Linked DNA regions of Cricetulus griseus. The protein of the gene in region 1 interacts with the protein of each later gene in a pairwise test. Links are inferred from orthologs where the notes say so. Each region holds a gene or a part of one and is shown on either strand. Other genes may lie near its edges. The genes, in order: Mapk9, beta-arrestin-2 and Shmt1.

Evidence for each region.
Region 2: the proteins of Mapk9 (region 1) and beta-arrestin-2 interact in binary tests that used the Homo sapiens proteins (3 or more experiments, as listed by UniProt). The two-hybrid records come from large-scale screens. The link is inferred for Cricetulus griseus from reciprocal best matches to the Homo sapiens genes MAPK9 and ARRB2.
Region 3: the proteins of Mapk9 (region 1) and Shmt1 interact in binary tests that used the Homo sapiens proteins (3 or more experiments, as listed by UniProt). The two-hybrid records come from large-scale screens. The link is inferred for Cricetulus griseus from reciprocal best matches to the Homo sapiens genes MAPK9 and SHMT1.

What each region holds. Positions count from the first base shown.
Region 1 is NC_048600.1:64,323,553-64,329,526, forward strand, and holds part of Mapk9 (mitogen-activated protein kinase 9), read left to right. Parts: intron 1-4,732; coding exon 4,733-4,862; intron 4,863-5,974. UniProt on the Homo sapiens protein: Serine/threonine-protein kinase involved in various processes such as cell proliferation, differentiation, migration, transformation and programmed cell death.
Region 2 is NC_048600.1:84,233,331-84,238,466, reverse strand, and holds part of beta-arrestin-2, read right to left. Parts: intron 3,654-5,136; coding exon 3,623-3,653; intron 3,011-3,622; coding exon 2,950-3,010; intron 2,838-2,949; coding exon 2,793-2,837; intron 2,590-2,792; coding exon 2,393-2,589; intron 2,282-2,392; coding exon 2,222-2,281; intron 1,851-2,221; coding exon 1,783-1,850; intron 1,646-1,782; coding exon 1,507-1,645; intron 1,273-1,506; coding exon 1,188-1,272; intron 894-1,187; coding exon 821-893; intron 564-820; coding exon 426-563; intron 1-425. UniProt on the Homo sapiens protein: Functions in regulating agonist-mediated G-protein coupled receptor (GPCR) signaling by mediating both receptor desensitization and resensitization processes.
Region 3 is NC_048600.1:74,800,144-74,806,117, reverse strand, and holds part of Shmt1 (serine hydroxymethyltransferase, cytosolic), read left to right. Parts: intron 1-334; coding exon 335-480; intron 481-1,719; coding exon 1,720-1,835; intron 1,836-2,345; coding exon 2,346-2,506; intron 2,507-3,265; coding exon 3,266-3,347; intron 3,348-4,283; coding exon 4,284-4,496; intron 4,497-5,974. UniProt on the Homo sapiens protein: Interconversion of serine and glycine.

The DNA.
Region 1 (5,974 bases):
CAGGCCCAGAAAACTCCCTCTGCTCTGCTTTAAAGCCATTGAAAGGCTGTACCCTAGAAATAATGGGTTAACTTGAGTGAGGCACTGCCACTCAGCATCCAGTCATCATTCACTTGTTGAACTTTTACCGAGGTGAGTCTAAACTGTTAGTACCCCCATGTGCCCAGTAGAAGCAAGTGTAAATTCTGAAAGAGAATAGCATTTCCTTGGATTTAGATTATTTCTACAGCACCTTTATAAACGCAGGGTTGTAACACAATAAAAAAATGGCTAGACACACAAGGAGACAGGACAAAAGGGTCAGGGCAGCAGGGGATCCTGGCATCGTTAGTCCAAGTTTTAAATAGCTGTGGTGATGTGTTCAAGATGATAAACAAGATGAAAACTTAAGTGGAAGAACAAGAACTTCTAAAAAGAGAACTAAGTGGAAATAGAAGTGAAAGTGAAAGCTATAGTAATTGAATTACAAACTTAAAGAAAGTATTTATTTATTTTTATTTATTTATTTTTTTTAGATTTTATTATGTATACAACATTCTGCTTCCATGTATATCTGCACGGCAGAAGAGGGCACCAGATCTCATAACGGATGGTTGTGAGCCACCATGTGGTTGCTGGGAATTGAACTCAGGACCTCTGAAAGAGCAAGTGCTGTTAACCTCTGAGCCATCTTTCCAGCCCAAGAAAGTATTTGTTAATATTAGATGTAACTGAAGAGGGAATTGGTAATGTGGAAGATACATCAGCAGAAAATACCCAGAATGAAGCCTCAGAGACTAAAGAGTAGGGATTCAGAAGAGAGATGTGTTAATTTTTTATTGCTCCATAATCAATTACCACAGATTAATGGTTTAAAATAATTCAACATTTATTATCTGATGGCCATCCTTCATTAGAAAATGTAAATTAAAACAACATTCTTATGTACATGGTGAAATACACTCAGCCCAGAGGGTAAAAAGTAGGTTGTTCATGATACCAAGTGTTGGTGAAGATGTTCATATACAGCTCTCTACAGCTCTCAGGCATGGACTCTTGGCACACTGCTGATGGACACAGACACTGAAGACAGTCTGGCTTTATCTACTAAAGTAGAATCTATGCTTTCCCACTTGGCTATGTGCATGTCAGAGATACATGCTTGGAGGAATGGTGCCACGCACATGAATGTCGATGGCAGTGAGTCTTATCATCACTTGAAAACTGAAAAGAACTAAAGTGGCAATCAGTGTCATGTGACAGTCACACAAAGGAATATTACAGCAACGAGAGAGTGAATTATAATAATCAGACTAGTGGGTGAGTCATAAATACAGTGTTGAGTGAAAAGTCAGAGACTTCTAAAAAAAAACAGGCAAATATAAGTGATAGAGTTGTATATAAGGGCACATGTTTGTGAAATTGAGAAAGTTGTTGTCATGAACATCAGAAGTTAGGCCAAGCTTCGTGGTACACACCTTTAATTCCAGCACTTGGGAGGCAGAGGCAGGAGGATCTCTGAGTTCAAGACCAGACAAACTGGTTGACAGTGAGTTTCAGGATAACCAACCAGGACTATAAATAACCTCAGAAGTTATTTTCTTCTTTGGTGGACAAAAATGATAACAATTGGGAGGGGCTGTTAAGGGGACTTTTGGGGGCACCAACAGAGCATGGCTCTTTGTGATATATTATTGAGCAGAGGAACAAAACCCAAAACAAAGCAAAGGAGTGACTGTCAGATGAAAGCCTCCCTCACCAGCAACACTCAGAGCTGGAAAGCAGTGGCCTTAAAGTTCTAAGAGAAAATTGATTTTCGGCTTAGAAGACAGACTGTCAGTCAAAGATGAGGGCAGAGTAAGGTCATTTATCTTCAGTGTATGTTGTCTGGGGACAGTCTTTAAAGACACACTTCAACAATCAAGACAACTCAAGGCCATGTAATACAAGAAGGCAGTTAAATACAAGAGGCCAGAAATGGAATCCCAGGATAAGTTCTGTGAAGAAGGCTTTGAGATGCCTTCAAAGAAAGTATGAATCCATTCCAAGCATAGATGTCTGAGTGGGAGGTTATGGTACCAGTGATGGGCTTTGGGAGATGAGCTTTCTTCTCTTAGGAAAAAGTTGTTTGTTAAAACCTTGTTGAAGGAAGTATAGAAAGAGGCATCATCTACATAGAAAACAGAAGGGCAGGGTGCTCAAGCAGCTGATAGGCTGGAAGGACAGAGAGAGAGCCCATCTGACCTCCACGTAGCAGACATTCTAATTTTGTGTGTGTAATTGGCAGAAGAGATTTGTGATCTTTGGAAAATGAAGCGTAATCCCAGCTCTGCAACTAGTAATATTTACGTGTGTACATTTACTTTCAGTTGGTTGTCAGTGTTTATAATAGACAGCTTGAAGAAGCAGCACAGAGGCTTAGCTATCAGTTTAAAATGAGGAGTGTTTAAGACAGGGGTTTGGAGGAAGAGGGAGGAAGGTAAAGAGATGAAAGAGAGCAGGGTGGAACATAAGATCACCTTGTGTTGTGGGGGAAGAGCAAGATAAGGTGTGTTAACCCACTTACAAAGGAAACCTTGAAATTCCATTAGAACAAAGCTGGGAGAGGTTGGAGGTAACTAACCCCTTTGTTTCATACTAGGAAGTGTCTTTACCTTTGAGTTAAAAGGTCATCTCAAGACAGAAAACATGGATAGCTGAAGGTCATTAGAGCTGGAACAGGAGTGATTTAGATAGATTTCTATTGCTGTGATAAAACACAATGACCAAAAACAACATAGAAGAAAGAAAGGATTTATTCATCTTTCAGTTTGTAATTCATCATCCAGGGAAGTTGGGACAAGAACCTAAAGGCAACTGAAACAGAGGCTGTAGGGAGTACTGCTTATTGGCTTGTTCCTCCTGGCTTGTTCAGTTTGTTTTCTTGTAAGACAACTTACCCAGGGGTAGCAGCACCCACAATGGGCTGGACCTCCCACATCAGTCATTAACCAAGAAAATGCCCCACAAGCCAGTCTATAACGGGGAATTTTCTCAATTGAGATTCCTTCTTCCAAAATGACTCTACCTATGTCAAGCCAGCAAAAAAAAAAAAAAAAAAAAAAAAAAAAAAAACTAGTCAGTACATACATACATACACACACACATACTTATACATAGTGTTTCCAAATCCATATACATTATAGAATCGCTAAATTCAGCTAAATTACATATACATGTTTCACGTTTTCTGCAGTGAGAACACTTAACATCTACTTTCTTAGCAGTTTTAAAGAATATAGTACAAGTAAGGAATGGTAGTGCACACCTTTAATCCCAGTACTCCAGAGGCAAGGGTAGGTGGATCTCTGTGAGTTCAAGGCCAGCATGATTTACATAGCAAGATTCAATACTACACAGAAAGAGCTTGACTCAAAGAAGAAAAAGTAAAGAAAAAACAGCACAGTATAGTGATGTTACTAACTGAAGGCAATGTTATTCTGTAGAGTCCTTGAACACAGTCATACTCCTGTTTGTCTGAAAATTCAGACAAAAACCTTTGAGATCAGAAAGGTGAATCTAAGAAATACAAGTGTATATGTACACACAGGCACATTAATGATTTCTCTCACAATGGATTTTCTTAATCATCATATATTCATATGAGTAGTAAATTTGCCTGTGAGCATGTGGGCTCACCTATGACTGGGGTGTGTGTGTGTGTGTGTGTGTGTGTGTGTGTGTGTGTGTGTGTGTGTGTGTGTAAAACAAATGTAGTGATTCTTCTTAGCAAGTTCTACCATGCCCAGCCTTTAACTTAAAAACAGATCAAATTAAGTTAGAGTTGTTCAGCAGAAAGTATTAACAGAAAGGAATAAGAGTAAATACTATTACAAAGGCAGAGAGGATAGACAGGCAGGGCTTGAAGGGATGCCTGGGCTCACAGGTTGTCTTTAGCAACCTTGAGCCCCTGTTGAGCCATCAGAAGGCCTCTCACTGATGACACTGAGTACTGCTGGCCTGAAACCTGAAGATGTGTCATCATGCCACTCACTTTTCTGCATTCAATTTCTGGAGAAAAATTAACACTAAATTCCATGAAGGGATGTGAGAACTGGAAAGTGGAGCTTTAGGTTTTCCTCTTACTATAAAAGGAGGCAGCATTTCCTGCAGAATTTTATATATAGCAAGTGCTTACATTGGGACTTTGTGTCTTGGGAATTTACCATGAGCTGAGACTTGGGCTACTGTTTCTTTTTAGATTCTTTGGCCTGGGAAAGCATAAACGGTCAAAACTTAGATTTATTAAATTCCTTCCATGAGCTCAACCACAGAATCTGCAGTGATACTCCAAAATATACTGGCATTTTAATCAGTGATAACAGGGAAGTTTTCAATTTCTTGACGTCTTTAAACTGAAAATTTCATTCCTTGACTTGTGTTACATGCTTTGGATTAAATTAACTGTTTCTGAACCTGCTGATCTTAGTAACTGAAAATTCAATGTACAAAGAATTGCTAAATCCTACTGGAACTGTAGCTGAAAGTCATGGTGCCTTGTGGGGGGTAGTGTCAGGGTGAGGTGGGGGTTAGTCTCTCCTGCTGGCTCAGCCACTTCACTTTCCATAAGTACATAAAGCTTGATTGGGGAAGAACAGAAATATTTCTCCTTGTCTATTATTTGCTTTGAAAGATAATACATTGAATGTATATTCTCCATTGCTATTTTCAAAGGCCATTTTAATAGATTGTTTATTATATTTCCTAATTATAGTGCTGCTTTTGATACAGTTCTTGGGATAAATGTTGCTGTCAAGAAGTTAAGCCGTCCTTTCCAGAACCAAACGCATGCAAAGAGAGCCTATCGTGAACTTGTCCTCTTAAAGTGTGTCAATCATAAAAATGTAAGTTACAGGTGCTCCTTCTATGTGCTTTGATGTTAGTAGTGTGATCAGACTGAAGATTAACTAATGATGAGAGAGACTCTATGTCTTAGGGTTTCTGTTGCTGGGATGAAGCAATATAACCAAAAAACAAGTTGGGGAGGAAACGGTTTATTTGCTTTACACTTCAACACTACGTTCATTTACTGAAGGACATCAGGACAGGAACTCAAACAGGGCAGGATCCCGGAGGTAGGAGCTGATGCAGAGGCCATGGAGAGGAGCTGCTTACTAGCTTGCTTCCCCTGCCTTGCTCAGCCTTCTTTCTTATAGAACCCAGAACCAGCAGCCTAGGGATGGCATCACCCACCATGGACTGAGTCCTCCACCTTTGATCACTAAATGAGAAAATGCCTTACAACTAACTGGATCTTGTTGAGTCATTTCTTCAACTGAGGCTCCTTCCTCTGATGACCCTAATGTGTCAAATTGACACACAAAACCATCCAGTACACTAAAAAAAAAAAGCTTACATTTTATTGATAAAATTAGGATGTATTCTTTATTACATCTAGTTATTGGGGGAAGGGAGATGCCACTGCTCATATTGGAAGTCAGAGGACAACTTTCCAGAATCAGTTCTCTTTTTTCCCACCATGTGGGACCCTGGGATACACTGAGTCCATCAGCAGCAGGCTTTTCGGCCAATGCCTTTACCTACAGAGCCATCTCTTCAGCCTTTCGAGGAGATTTGCATGATCAGTTCATGACATCTCTCTCTGGCTTTAGATGAGTAGGGAATATTTAAGATTATACTAAACCCTTTGTTTCAACATCTGTGCTTGATCTTTCTGTATGGTGACATTAAGTGTGCAACTAAGATCAGTTCATTGTTTTGTCACATTATTTTTTTTTAATTTTGGGCAGTGCTGGGGATTGAATCCAGGACCTTACATACACAAGGCAAATGCTCTACCACTGGCCTCCATTTGCATCTGTGGTTTGAGTTGGTTTTAGTTTTTCAATGTATGTTTAATCTTACTTATTTAATTTTTGTCAGTTTACAAAAATGCGTGTTTATTATTTTTAAAAATTCAAGTAACATAAGTTAGAAAGCAAAACTCCCTGGGCCC
Region 2 (5,136 bases), about 20 Mb from region 1:
GTCATACATAGTGACACATCACAATTCCTCATGCACCCTGGGGATCATCCCACCCGAGCCGCAAAGACTGCAGATCTATCTGCCTGGAGCCCTCTTGGCTTGCACACCCACAGGTCTCCTTCCTCTGGGCCCTTCAGTATTCACCCTTTCTGGCCAATCTATTTACAATCAACACAGCCTGACCCTTTCTGTACGTTATCCCTCCTGCTCTGCTTGCTTTTCCCACTTAACACTTGTTCCTAACATGCTATCTAGTTTACCACTTATCTGATTGTCTGTCTTCCCTCCCTTAGAATGTGAGAGGTTTTTGTCACTTCTGTTCACTGATACCTCCCTGGCACCCAGGACAGAGCCTGGCACACCGCCTGCACTGCACTGAACGGAAGCCTGTCCCCTGTCCCCCAGTCCACCAGCCCCGCCCTCACATGGTGCTAGAAGCCAGGTTGGTGTCTTCATGCTTGAGCTGCCCGTCCAGGGCAAGGCCACGCTTCTCCCGGTTGTCACTGAGCAGTGGGGTTATGGTGTACACCTTGCAGAACGTGGAACTGGGAGATACCTGGTCACTGGGGGTTGGGAACAAGGGAACAAGATTCTTGGAGAGACTGGACTGAGGGAGATTCATCATACCACCCTCAGGCGGTACTTCCTCCTTCTCTGTCCATCAGGGCAGATTACGAGGGGGTAGGTTCTGATGCAATCTGCTAACAGCCTGGAGCCCCCAGGCTGCAGAGGGACACCCTTAGAAGTGAGATAGGTTATAAGGAACTCTGCATTCTCATATTCTCCCCTAAGTTGGGTCCCACGGTTGTCCCATACTCACTCTTGCTCAAGCTGAGCCACAGGACACTTGTACTGCGCGGTGCTGAAGAGGCAAATGTCGGCATACTGTCTCACTGTGGGGTAGGGGACCAAGTGGCTTTGGGTGAAGTATAGACTACTACTGTACCACAACTCCAGACCACATGGTGTGAACCCCACTTGGGGGCAGCACACCCCCACCTCCTACCCCTGGCCAACAGCCCTCCTATAATAAACACTAGGGCTGGGCATCATCTGGGAACAGACTAAATTCTTTATGCCCTGGTAGTTCTCCCACACTGGGATATGGCCTGGGCTGAAATGGCAGCAGAAGCCCCTTGTAATCAGGGACTTCCTTCCCCACACCCATGTCCACCCCCACCTCCTACCAGAGACTCTAATCTTCTTGACGGTCTTGGCCGAGTTGTTGGTGACATGGACGTTGACATTGAGTGGCTCCCCGTGGTAATACAGCTTTTGAAGGGAGGGGATGACACAGTTTGCACTTGCTTCAGTGGCTCCAACTTGGGTACCTCTCTGATAGAGGCTGCTCTGCCCCACCTCCAACCCCAGTCCATAGCACCTCCACCCAAGTGAGGCAACCACCTTTAAAAAAAAAATCCCAAACCACCATCCTGCCTGTCGCTTCACCCCTCCCCCAGGCTCTGGCCTGCTTTGTGGCATCTCTGTCACTCTTTTACACCTCACCTCTTTGTCCAGGGAAGCCTCTAGGTGCAGGGACCTCCGGTCAGACATGAGGAAGTGGCGTGTGGTTTCTGCTGAGGGCTGGGGGCCAGGTATCTCTGGAGCAAACTGTACCTTTCTGATGATAAGTCGCACCGAGTTCCTGAGTCAGGGGGTGGAGCAGGGGAAGGGTTAGTTCCAAGACACTACAATTCAACTAAGATTCCTACCCCCAACAGGCGCCAGGGGCTCCATAAGGCTGGGAGGGAGTTGTTAAACCAGAGACAAAGTTTCTCTCACCTTTTGTGGCTTTTTTCTTCTAGAGATTTGGCACAGAAGGCACGAATCTCAAAGTCGACTCCACAGGCCTTGGAAGGGGGAGGAAAGGCCACCTCTTACCCAAGGCTCCTGTTGCCACTTCCAACACACCCCTTCCTTCCTACTTGCTTCATTCCCCTTAAGTGTGAACTTTTGCCCCATCTCGGAAACACGGACTCTCTTGCCCCACTGTCTCCTAGTCTGGCACCTTACAGAGGCTGGCTCATGGCAGTGCATGGAGGAACCCCCATACCCAGGTACATGTTCCAGATGCAGTGACCACACCATGCACACCCATGTCCATGGGGACACCTCCTTGTCTTCAGGACCCCCCTAAACTTCACCCTCTGGTTCAGTTGTGTTTTGTGCTTCTGCTGAGCCCAGTTCTGTTCACACACTGTGATAGCTGTCCCTCCCTTACCTTCCCTGTGTCCTCTGGTCCTGGCTGCAGTGTGACAGAGCAAGGCAAATTCTGGGGTAACTGTGGCAGAGAAAAGGAGGGGTTTCAGTCCCTGGTAACAGGTGCCTCATCCCATGTCAATCCTGCAGCCCCCCCCCCCCCCACTCCTCGGAGAAAAGGGAGCATCCTCACTGTGAAAAAAAAGGGATGGGCATGCTGGCCCAACTTCTTCAGCAGTCGGTCCTGTAGCCGGGTGGGGGGCCGGGGTGGGTTGGGCATGGGGGGAAAGGCTTGGTAGGTGGCAATGAACAGATCTTTGCGGAAAGACAGGCCCAGTACATCCAGGTCTTCTCGGCCATAGCGGAAGGCGCAGGTGAGGGTAACAAACACTGGAAAGCGAGGGCAAGGTGGGATGATCAAGAGACATCCTTCATGTCGCCCACATCCTTCCTCAGCACGACAGACTTCCCTGAATCCTACCCCCTGCTTCTGCCTCAGCCTTCCATCTGTCTGGGACACCCTACCAATGCCAACCCATCGAATTCCTTCTTCTTCCTGCCTCCCCTCCAGCTCCTGGACTTGGGTCTAGTACCTTTGCGGTCCTTCAAGTAGTCAGGATCCACGAGCACCACGCCATCTAGGAAAGGGAGACGTGGATTCATTTTCTGAAGGCGGCCTTTCCCCATCCCCAGAACCAGGAACCTCCTCCCTCCTGGGGGGATGAGCTACCCCCTTCTAGGCAAACTCACCCACAGGATCCACTTTGTCCAGGTGGTCTACAAAGTCGCGCTTGCCCAAGTACACGGTGAGCTGAGGATGTCAAGGGTCACAGGCAAAATTGGGGAGGATGGTGGCAAGCCACCAGAGCCCTCAAAGATGGCGGCCCTGTCCTGGGCTCCCCTTGGCTGGGTTATCAGGAAGGAGTTTCTCCCAGTGTTATTGGAAGGTGAGAGTGGTAGGGCTTTCCAGACTATTCAGTAAAGCTTTCATTTAGGCTTTTGTCTGCTCCTCTGGTCACTTTTCATACCGCTGTCCACCAAGCAAGGACAGAGGTGTATGTGTGTATATGTGTGTGTTCCCATGTCTTCAGGGAGCACTCAGTCAGACCAGGCAGTTAGCAGCTCTCCCCACAAAGGGCTCTGCAATAAACAGGCCACAGCCTGGGGAACTATTAACTTTTCCTAGTCCCAAGTACCCTGGGTTGGTTCCTAAGAGAATTACAAGCTTGCTTAGGAACCTAGCCTGGTCCCCACCCAGCCCTGTGGCTTCTTCAGACTGTGGCAAGGGGCTTAAGGAGGGAAGGAAGTCTGCTTTTAGCTGTCACAGGAAGTGGGGAGCTAAGGGTTGGGGATCAGCTGGGGGTAGGTTGGGCTTTGATAGGGCCCAGGAAGGATCGAAGCATAAGCACTGTGGGTGACTCACCTTGCAGTTAGGGCTCGACTTCTTGAAGACCCTAACAAAACAGAAAGGGAGACCCCACTGCCTCCCTTAGACTCAGCAGGGACCACCACACCAGGACTTATCCCTCCCTAGCCCAAGAAGTGGAATTCACCCTGGATCCCTGGTCTACCCTTCCCACTTTTTTTTTTTTTTAACAAAGTCCCAGTATTTTCCACATGGCAGCCCCTTGAAGCCAACTGTCAGGGCAAACACTTGCTCCTTTGATTTGATCCACCTCTACAGTAATGGCCACTGGTTGCTCCAGGAACCATCTAGACTCTCCCGAGGGCACCGTCCCCAGAAGAAGATGGGAACTAGATGGCTATCCAATGTCTGGGTCAGACCTAACACACTTTTCTTTTGAGACCGGGATTTAACTATGTAACCCTGGCTGGCCTGGAACTTGATATGTAGACCAGGTTGGCCCCAACTCTGAGATCCACCTGCCTCTGCATCCCTGATGGTGAGATGAAAGGCGTGAACCACCACCCTCAGTTAAACTAGCCACTTTTCAAATGACCTCTAGCTTCGAGGACACCTGGAGCAGTGCCTTGACTTTACCCCTCAGTTTCTACTGAAGGCACTGCCCACATCTGCTTATTTCATGAACCTCCAACATCCCCATCTCTGACCTCAGAATCTTAAAAAAAATGCATTTGTCGGTCAAGGCCTAACTCAGACATCATCTCCGTCAGATTGAAGACTCGGCCTCGACTTTAACCGCCAGCACAATAACACTCCCTCCTCCCTGTTCCTTTCCCATCTTGTTTATATTTTACTTGTGATTTCACAAAGGCTGACAGCTGTGACCCCTGGGATCTTGTACATTGAGGTGTCCCAACACAGTAGCATCCATGTGACAAAGAGGATACTGGCTAACATTTATTGGGTGACTGTTCTGGTCCTAGCAGTGTTCCAATTGCATTGTGACTACTCTAATAGCCCAAAGACATAAGTCGAAATAATTCCTGTTTTAGATAGAAGAAACCAAAGCATAGAGAGGTCAAGAATTTTGTCAAAGGTCAGAGAGAATGCACATGGTGGAACTCAGGCATAAACTTAAGGAAGACAACTCTGACTTTAAGTCCCTGCTGTCAACCATTAAATTGTTAAACTGGCCCATCACTGACAGTTTGTCCAGTTGAAGAGGGTTTTCTATACAGGCACTGAAATAATCTAAGCCTAGACTCCACCCGTGCTGGGAGCACAGAGAACTGTCTAGTGATCCCCAACCCATTGCTGGGAGCATAGGGAACTGTCTAGAGACCCCAGGGCTCTGGCCATTGCTACCTCTTCTAATGCACTTTGCTTCAGCAGCAACTCCTGGAAAGGGTTCCTAGAGAACGAACTGAAACACTGCCCAGTGTTCCATCCCTCTTTCAACTCATGTGACACATAGGGTCACATGACAAACTCATAGAGTACCCCTGAGTACCCCCAAGCAACAAAGGCAAATACGGACATGGTAGCAGTTAGAATTATCATTCTAATTTCTG
Region 3 (5,974 bases), about 10 Mb from region 1:
TGTTTTGCTATCTGACTGAGGGTGACCCTGAGCCTCTGGTCATCCACCTTTACTCCCAGATGTTGAGATTATAGATTCTTGCCAGCAGGTCCTGTTCATTTTGTTTTAAGTTTATTTTTGTTGCTGTTTTTCTAATTAAACTCTGTACGGCCAAGGGTGATCTTGAAGCTTCTGATTCTGCCACTTTACGTCCTGAGGGCTGAGATTTCAGGCATGTGCCACCCTCCCCAATTTATTCAATACTGGAGATCAAGCCCGAGGGATTATGAATGCTAGATAAACCCTCTAGCAACTGGGCTACCCTCCAACCTCATGTCTGTTTTCTTCTGATAAGGTTTACAACATTATTAAAAAAGAGAACAATCGGCAAAGGATTGGATTGGAGCTGATTGCCTCAGAGAATTTTGCCAGCAGAGCTGTGTTGGAGGCCCTGGGATCTTGCTTAAATAATAAATACTCTGAGGGATATCCAGGCCAAAGGTGAGTGAGTGTTCTTAAAGTCCTGCTTTGATCATTTGTTTTTATTTCTTGTTATGTGGTTCAGGCTGACCTTTAGCCCTAATTCTCCTGCCTCAGCCTTCCAAGTGCTATGTGGTTTTAATTTACAATTCCTGGCTTTCAACTAATATGTAACTTTCAAAAACCTGTAGCTTCCTAGTTGTCTTCCCTTCTTGCTCTGTGATGTGACTCCTCCAGTTCTCGGCTTGGGTGGGATTTTGTGATCTTTCTTAGAGCTGTCACACTCAACAGTCCCTATATGAGACCTTTGTAGAATAGGCTGGCCTCGTCCCTCTGGGTTCAAGTGGTTATGAGCAGGCTTGTCTATGAGAGATGTAGTCAAGGCTCTAGGAAAGGTCATTGTCCTGAGAGAAAGTTACAGAGAGTGGATTGCTCTGAGAACCTTTGCATCTAGGAAGTGGAAAAACAAAACAAAAACCCTGTATTGCAGGCTCAATATACCTCCTCTAAAATGCTTTCAATCAAAAGTGTTTTTCATTAATTTTTCTACTTGATTCTTTGCTCAAGCAGTCTATATCTGAAACTAGTGGTTCAAAATTTGAAACTTTGGGTATTTTGTGAGTTTTACTATGTAGTCATACAACTTGGTGTGTGGACCAGATTGGCTGCACACTTGTGTTGCTCCTCCTGCCTCTATTTCTCAAGTGGCATGCACCACTATGCCTGATCTTTTTTTGTTGTCTTTGGTGGTGCTTGCTGGGAGTTGAATTTAGGACTTCATGCACACTAGGCAAGTCTCCTGCCACTGGCTTTGACACTCTCCACATTGAAACCTGTTTGTTGGGACAGAATTTCAGAATCTCACTGCATAGCATAAGCTCGGTCCTATCTATCTATATATCTATCACAGTCATTATAAGACAAACAAAATATAGAAGTTGACAGTGGTTTTTGCACCTGCTTGTTCCAATGGGAACAGGAAAAAGGAGAGCCTCCAAAGAATACAATGTGTTCTGTCCTGAGGTACCCTTGTTTCTTTTCCCTCTCTTTTTTTTTCTTGGGACAGGGTCTTTGTATATAGCACCAGCCAGCCTGGAACTCCTCCTGCTTCAGCCCGCCAAGTATTGCTTAAAGGTGTGCACCACCAGGACTCCTCCCCCACCCATCTACCCATACTCTGCCCACCCTAGGCAACTTTGATCTCTGCTAGGCACAGAGACTGGGCCCAACGTGGATGGTGGACCATGCTTCCTTTTACAGGTATTATGGTGGGACCGAGTTCATTGATGAGCTGGAGACACTGTGTCAGAAGCGTGCATTGCAGGCCTATCATCTGGATCCTCGGTGCTGGGGCGTCAATGTCCAGCCTTATTCAGGTGATCATTGCATCCATGTAGACCCTGCGTAGCTCCATAGGCCTTGCTCTATGGTGTTACAGCCACCAAGTCAAGTCCTACAAAAAGCTTCTCGCCGGGCGTTGGTGGCGCACGCCTTTAATCCCAGCACTTGGGAGGCAGAGGCAGGTGGATCTCTGTAAGTTCGAGACCAGCCTGGTCTACAAGAGCTAGTTCCAGGACAGCCTCCAAAGCCACAGAGAAACCCTGTCTCGAAACCCCCCCCCCCCCAAAAAAAAGCTCCTCATAAATAACAGAGAGAAGCCAAGGAATGTGTACATCCATCTCTATTGCCCTTGGACCTACTTAGGCTCCGCACTCCCCTCCCAAGTAGCATTCTCCACTGGGACTTGGGATCAGTGGGACTTTCTAAGGCTCAGGAAAATCATGGTGATAGCCTGCTGAATGATTGTGTAGTAGCCAAGCTCCTGGATGCCACTTTGTGTCTCATGGGTAGAAATTCTCATGACCTCTCTCTTGTCCCTGTTTCAGGCTCCCCTGCAAACTTCGCTGTATATACTGCCCTGGTTGAGCCCCATGGACGTATCATGGGCTTAGACCTGCCAGATGGAGGTCATTTGACTCATGGCTTCATGACAGACAAGAAGAAAATCTCTGCTACATCTATCTTCTTTGAATCTATGCCTTATAAGGTAGGGAGTGTGTATCTCCTCAGAGCTTTCCTTATGAGTTGGCACCCACGGGGATAAGTCATTTCATTTACACAGCACTGCTGCAGCCCCTTCTACTAGATCTCACCTCCTTGCCCCAAAGATTCTCCAGGCTCTTGGCACACTGCCAAGAAAGTGGAAGCTCAGGCATAGCTTCCATATGACATGATGGAAGCTATGCCTGAGAAAAGATCAGATAGCCAGACTCCTAGCAACAGCTGGTGGCACACCAAAATCAATAGGCAGTGTCCCTATCTCTAGCTCTAGCATCAATACTAGCAGCTTCTAGGTGGTGTGTTTTGGTTGTATGAGTATTTGCCTCTGTGTGTGTGTGTGTGTGTGTGTGTGTGTGTGTGTGTGTGTGTGTGTGTGTACACATATGTAACAGGTATGTGTGTATCTGATGCCTGAAGAGGTCAGAAGAGGGTGTTGATTTCTTGGAACTGGAGTGTGCATGTGTGTGGGTGCTAGGAACCAAATCTGGGTCCTCTGCAAGAACAGCAAATGCTTGTATCTGCTGAAGAATTTCTCCAGCCCTTGTCTTTATTATTTTGGTTAGTTGGTATCTTAGTCTGTAACCCAGGCTGACTTTGAACTCATGACAATCCTTCTGCCTCAGCCAGTGCCCTGCCCCTGGTCCTGGTCTGTGTTGTGGCAGGTTGAATTGTCTCAAATGGGTGAGCAGGGGTCACTGTGTGACCAGAGGGAGTAGCCAAGCCTGTGTCTTCCTGCTCCCGACAGGTGTACCCAGACACTGGCTACATTAACTATGACCAGCTGGAGGAGAATGCCAGCCTCTTTCACCCGAAGCTGATCGTCGCAGGTGAGTGGCAAGTGGGGAGCAGCCTGGTTCCTGGGCAGGGCCTCTGTGTCCTACAGAGAAAGATGGATAGATATCCCATCCTCCAGCTCACTGTGCAGAGCTCAGGACTTGAGACAGAATTACTTTGTCCTTTTAAGTCTTGGACTGTAAAGAGCCTTTCTTCTAGCCAGACTGCTGCCATCTTCATGAGGTCAGCTGTGCCTGCTTTCAAGGGTCCATCTTGATTGGGTCTGTGGATGGTTGACATTTGCCCTCCTAAAAGGAGGGAGCCAGAAGGGCCATTGAACCCTCACATGAGTGTCAGGCTACTTCCCCCAGCCATCTGCAGTTCTGCCCTAAGTGCATGTGGCCTCCATAAGGGGCTAGAGTATCTAGTCTGGGGAAGCCTGGGGGAAGGGAGCTTTCTTAATTCTGTTATGGAGGAGCCGTCTATGCTGGTCAGGACTTTCCAGGACAGCTGCATTTGGATCACCTACACTTCTGTCACTAATCTCACCCATAAAGCAAACCCAATAAGCTCTGGTTTCCCACGGTGAACTTGTACTTGGTTTTGTTATTGACCATATGAGGGTAAGGTAGACATTGTTCATGTCCCTCTCACACAAGACTTTTTAACAGCTTGCCATCAGTAGTGCTTAGTGGGTCAGTGCTTCAAGCCTTAGGCTTTTCTTAACATGTATAAAAGCACAGGGGTGGTTTTATTTTGTTTGATTGGTTGATTGTTTTTGAAATGGTTTCATTGTATATCCACTGGCCTCTGCCTTCCCAGTGCCGGGATTAAAGGTGTGTACTACCACACTTAGCTCAGAGATGGTTACAGACCACATTGCACCTCTGTCCTCAAAGATGGGGTGGGTCTCCTTTCACATCTGTGCATCAGAGACTAGATCAGCTGCCCTGGGAATCTTTGACACTACCATGTCTCCTCTGTCTCAGGGACCAGCTGCTACTCTCGGAACCTGGACTACGCACGTCTGCGAAAGATTGCTGATGATAATGGGGCATATCTCATGGCAGACATGGCACACATTAGTGGGCTGGTGGCAGCTGGTGTGATACCCTCCCCTTTTAAATACTGCCATGTGGTGACCACCACAACCCACAAAACCCTGAGAGGCTGCCGTGCTGGTATGATATTCTACAGAAAGGGTAAGTTCCCACCTGGTGGGACAGGCAAAGGGTGGAAGAAACCAGGAATAATACTCTGGACTGTGACTTCTGGAAAAGATCAGGATTCTGTACCTTGAAGAGCTCATCAGGAAAGAGTAGTGATGGGCTTTGTAAGAAGCCTCAAGCCACAGTTCTGGCCTCAGTGTGTGTGACAGAAAGGGGCTTAGCCAGTGTCCTGCTCATCTGACCCTCCACACAGGAGGAAGGGTGGGGTAGCTCTAGAATGCAGCTATTTTGATGAACTTGTTATGATCTAGCATATTTGTCAAAGAGAATTTTTTTTTTTTTTAATGCTATTATTGATGGGGATACTCACACACCAAAATGTCGAGGTCAGAAGACAACTTTTGAGAGTTGTTTCTCTCCTTCCATTGTGGGATGCCGGGGTTGAACTCAAGTTGACAGGTTTGTACATCAAGCACTTTTATCTGCTGAGCCATCTCCATGCCCTCATAAGGAAAGACTAATGTGTGCTGGAAGTGGGTAATCCCAGCTCTTAAGATGAAACAGGAAGATAGGAATTTGAGGCCATCCCGAGACTTTGTCAAAGGAAAGGCGGAGGGTGACAATGAGACTAACACACTGTCATGCAACAAGAATTAAGCTATAAAACATTGATACAGGAGGCATGCATGGTTGCATGCATGCATCTGTAATCCCAGCACCTTGGAAGGCATAGGCAGGAGACAGCTGAAAGTTTAGGGGCAGATTACTGAAGTTAAGTTCTAGGTCCGCCAGTGCTAGGTAATTCAGACTCATGTTTCATGCATAAAACAGAAACAAATAACCTCTGTATAAGTTTCATCATTTTAGTAAGTTATTTCTCTTCTCACTACCTTACATCCTACTTCTGCATTTTTCCCCTGAATCTCTAGCTGCTACAATGGTGAAAGTTGTATCAATAGTTATGTAGCCATAGCTTTGGAGAAGCAGATAAACTAGCCCTCCGGTGTGTATTACACTGGTGGGATCTTATTGCCTTAGCCCACCCCTCCCTATTGAGGGCAAGTCCTAGTTAGGTCCCACTTTAGTCTCCCAGGTTCTGTGGCCTTGGAGGACCTTTGCCATCTTGCTTGGTGTGGAGTTGTTGGGTTTGTTGTTGTTTGCTTGTTTTGGTTTTGAAACAGGGTCTCATTCTTAGCACAATCCTCTTGTCTCAGCCCCTCAGTGATCAGATTATAGGTGTGAGGCACAAGCTAGGTTTCTGGGTTGGTATTTGAGTCACCTAACACAGAGACCTTTGGTGTGTCTGGTGTGTGCAGTGGGATTTGTTGACCCTCAGCCAGTCAGAGTAGATCTGGCCTCTTTGCTGCTGTGTCATCTTGGGCCACAGGCAGCCTCTGTCTCCTCTTCTCTAGAGGAGAGTGTGCCATCATAGCACCCATGCCTCCAGACGATTTTGGGGATTCAGTGAGTTGCTCCTATGGCAGTTCTTTGGCTTACAATGTAGGTGTTAG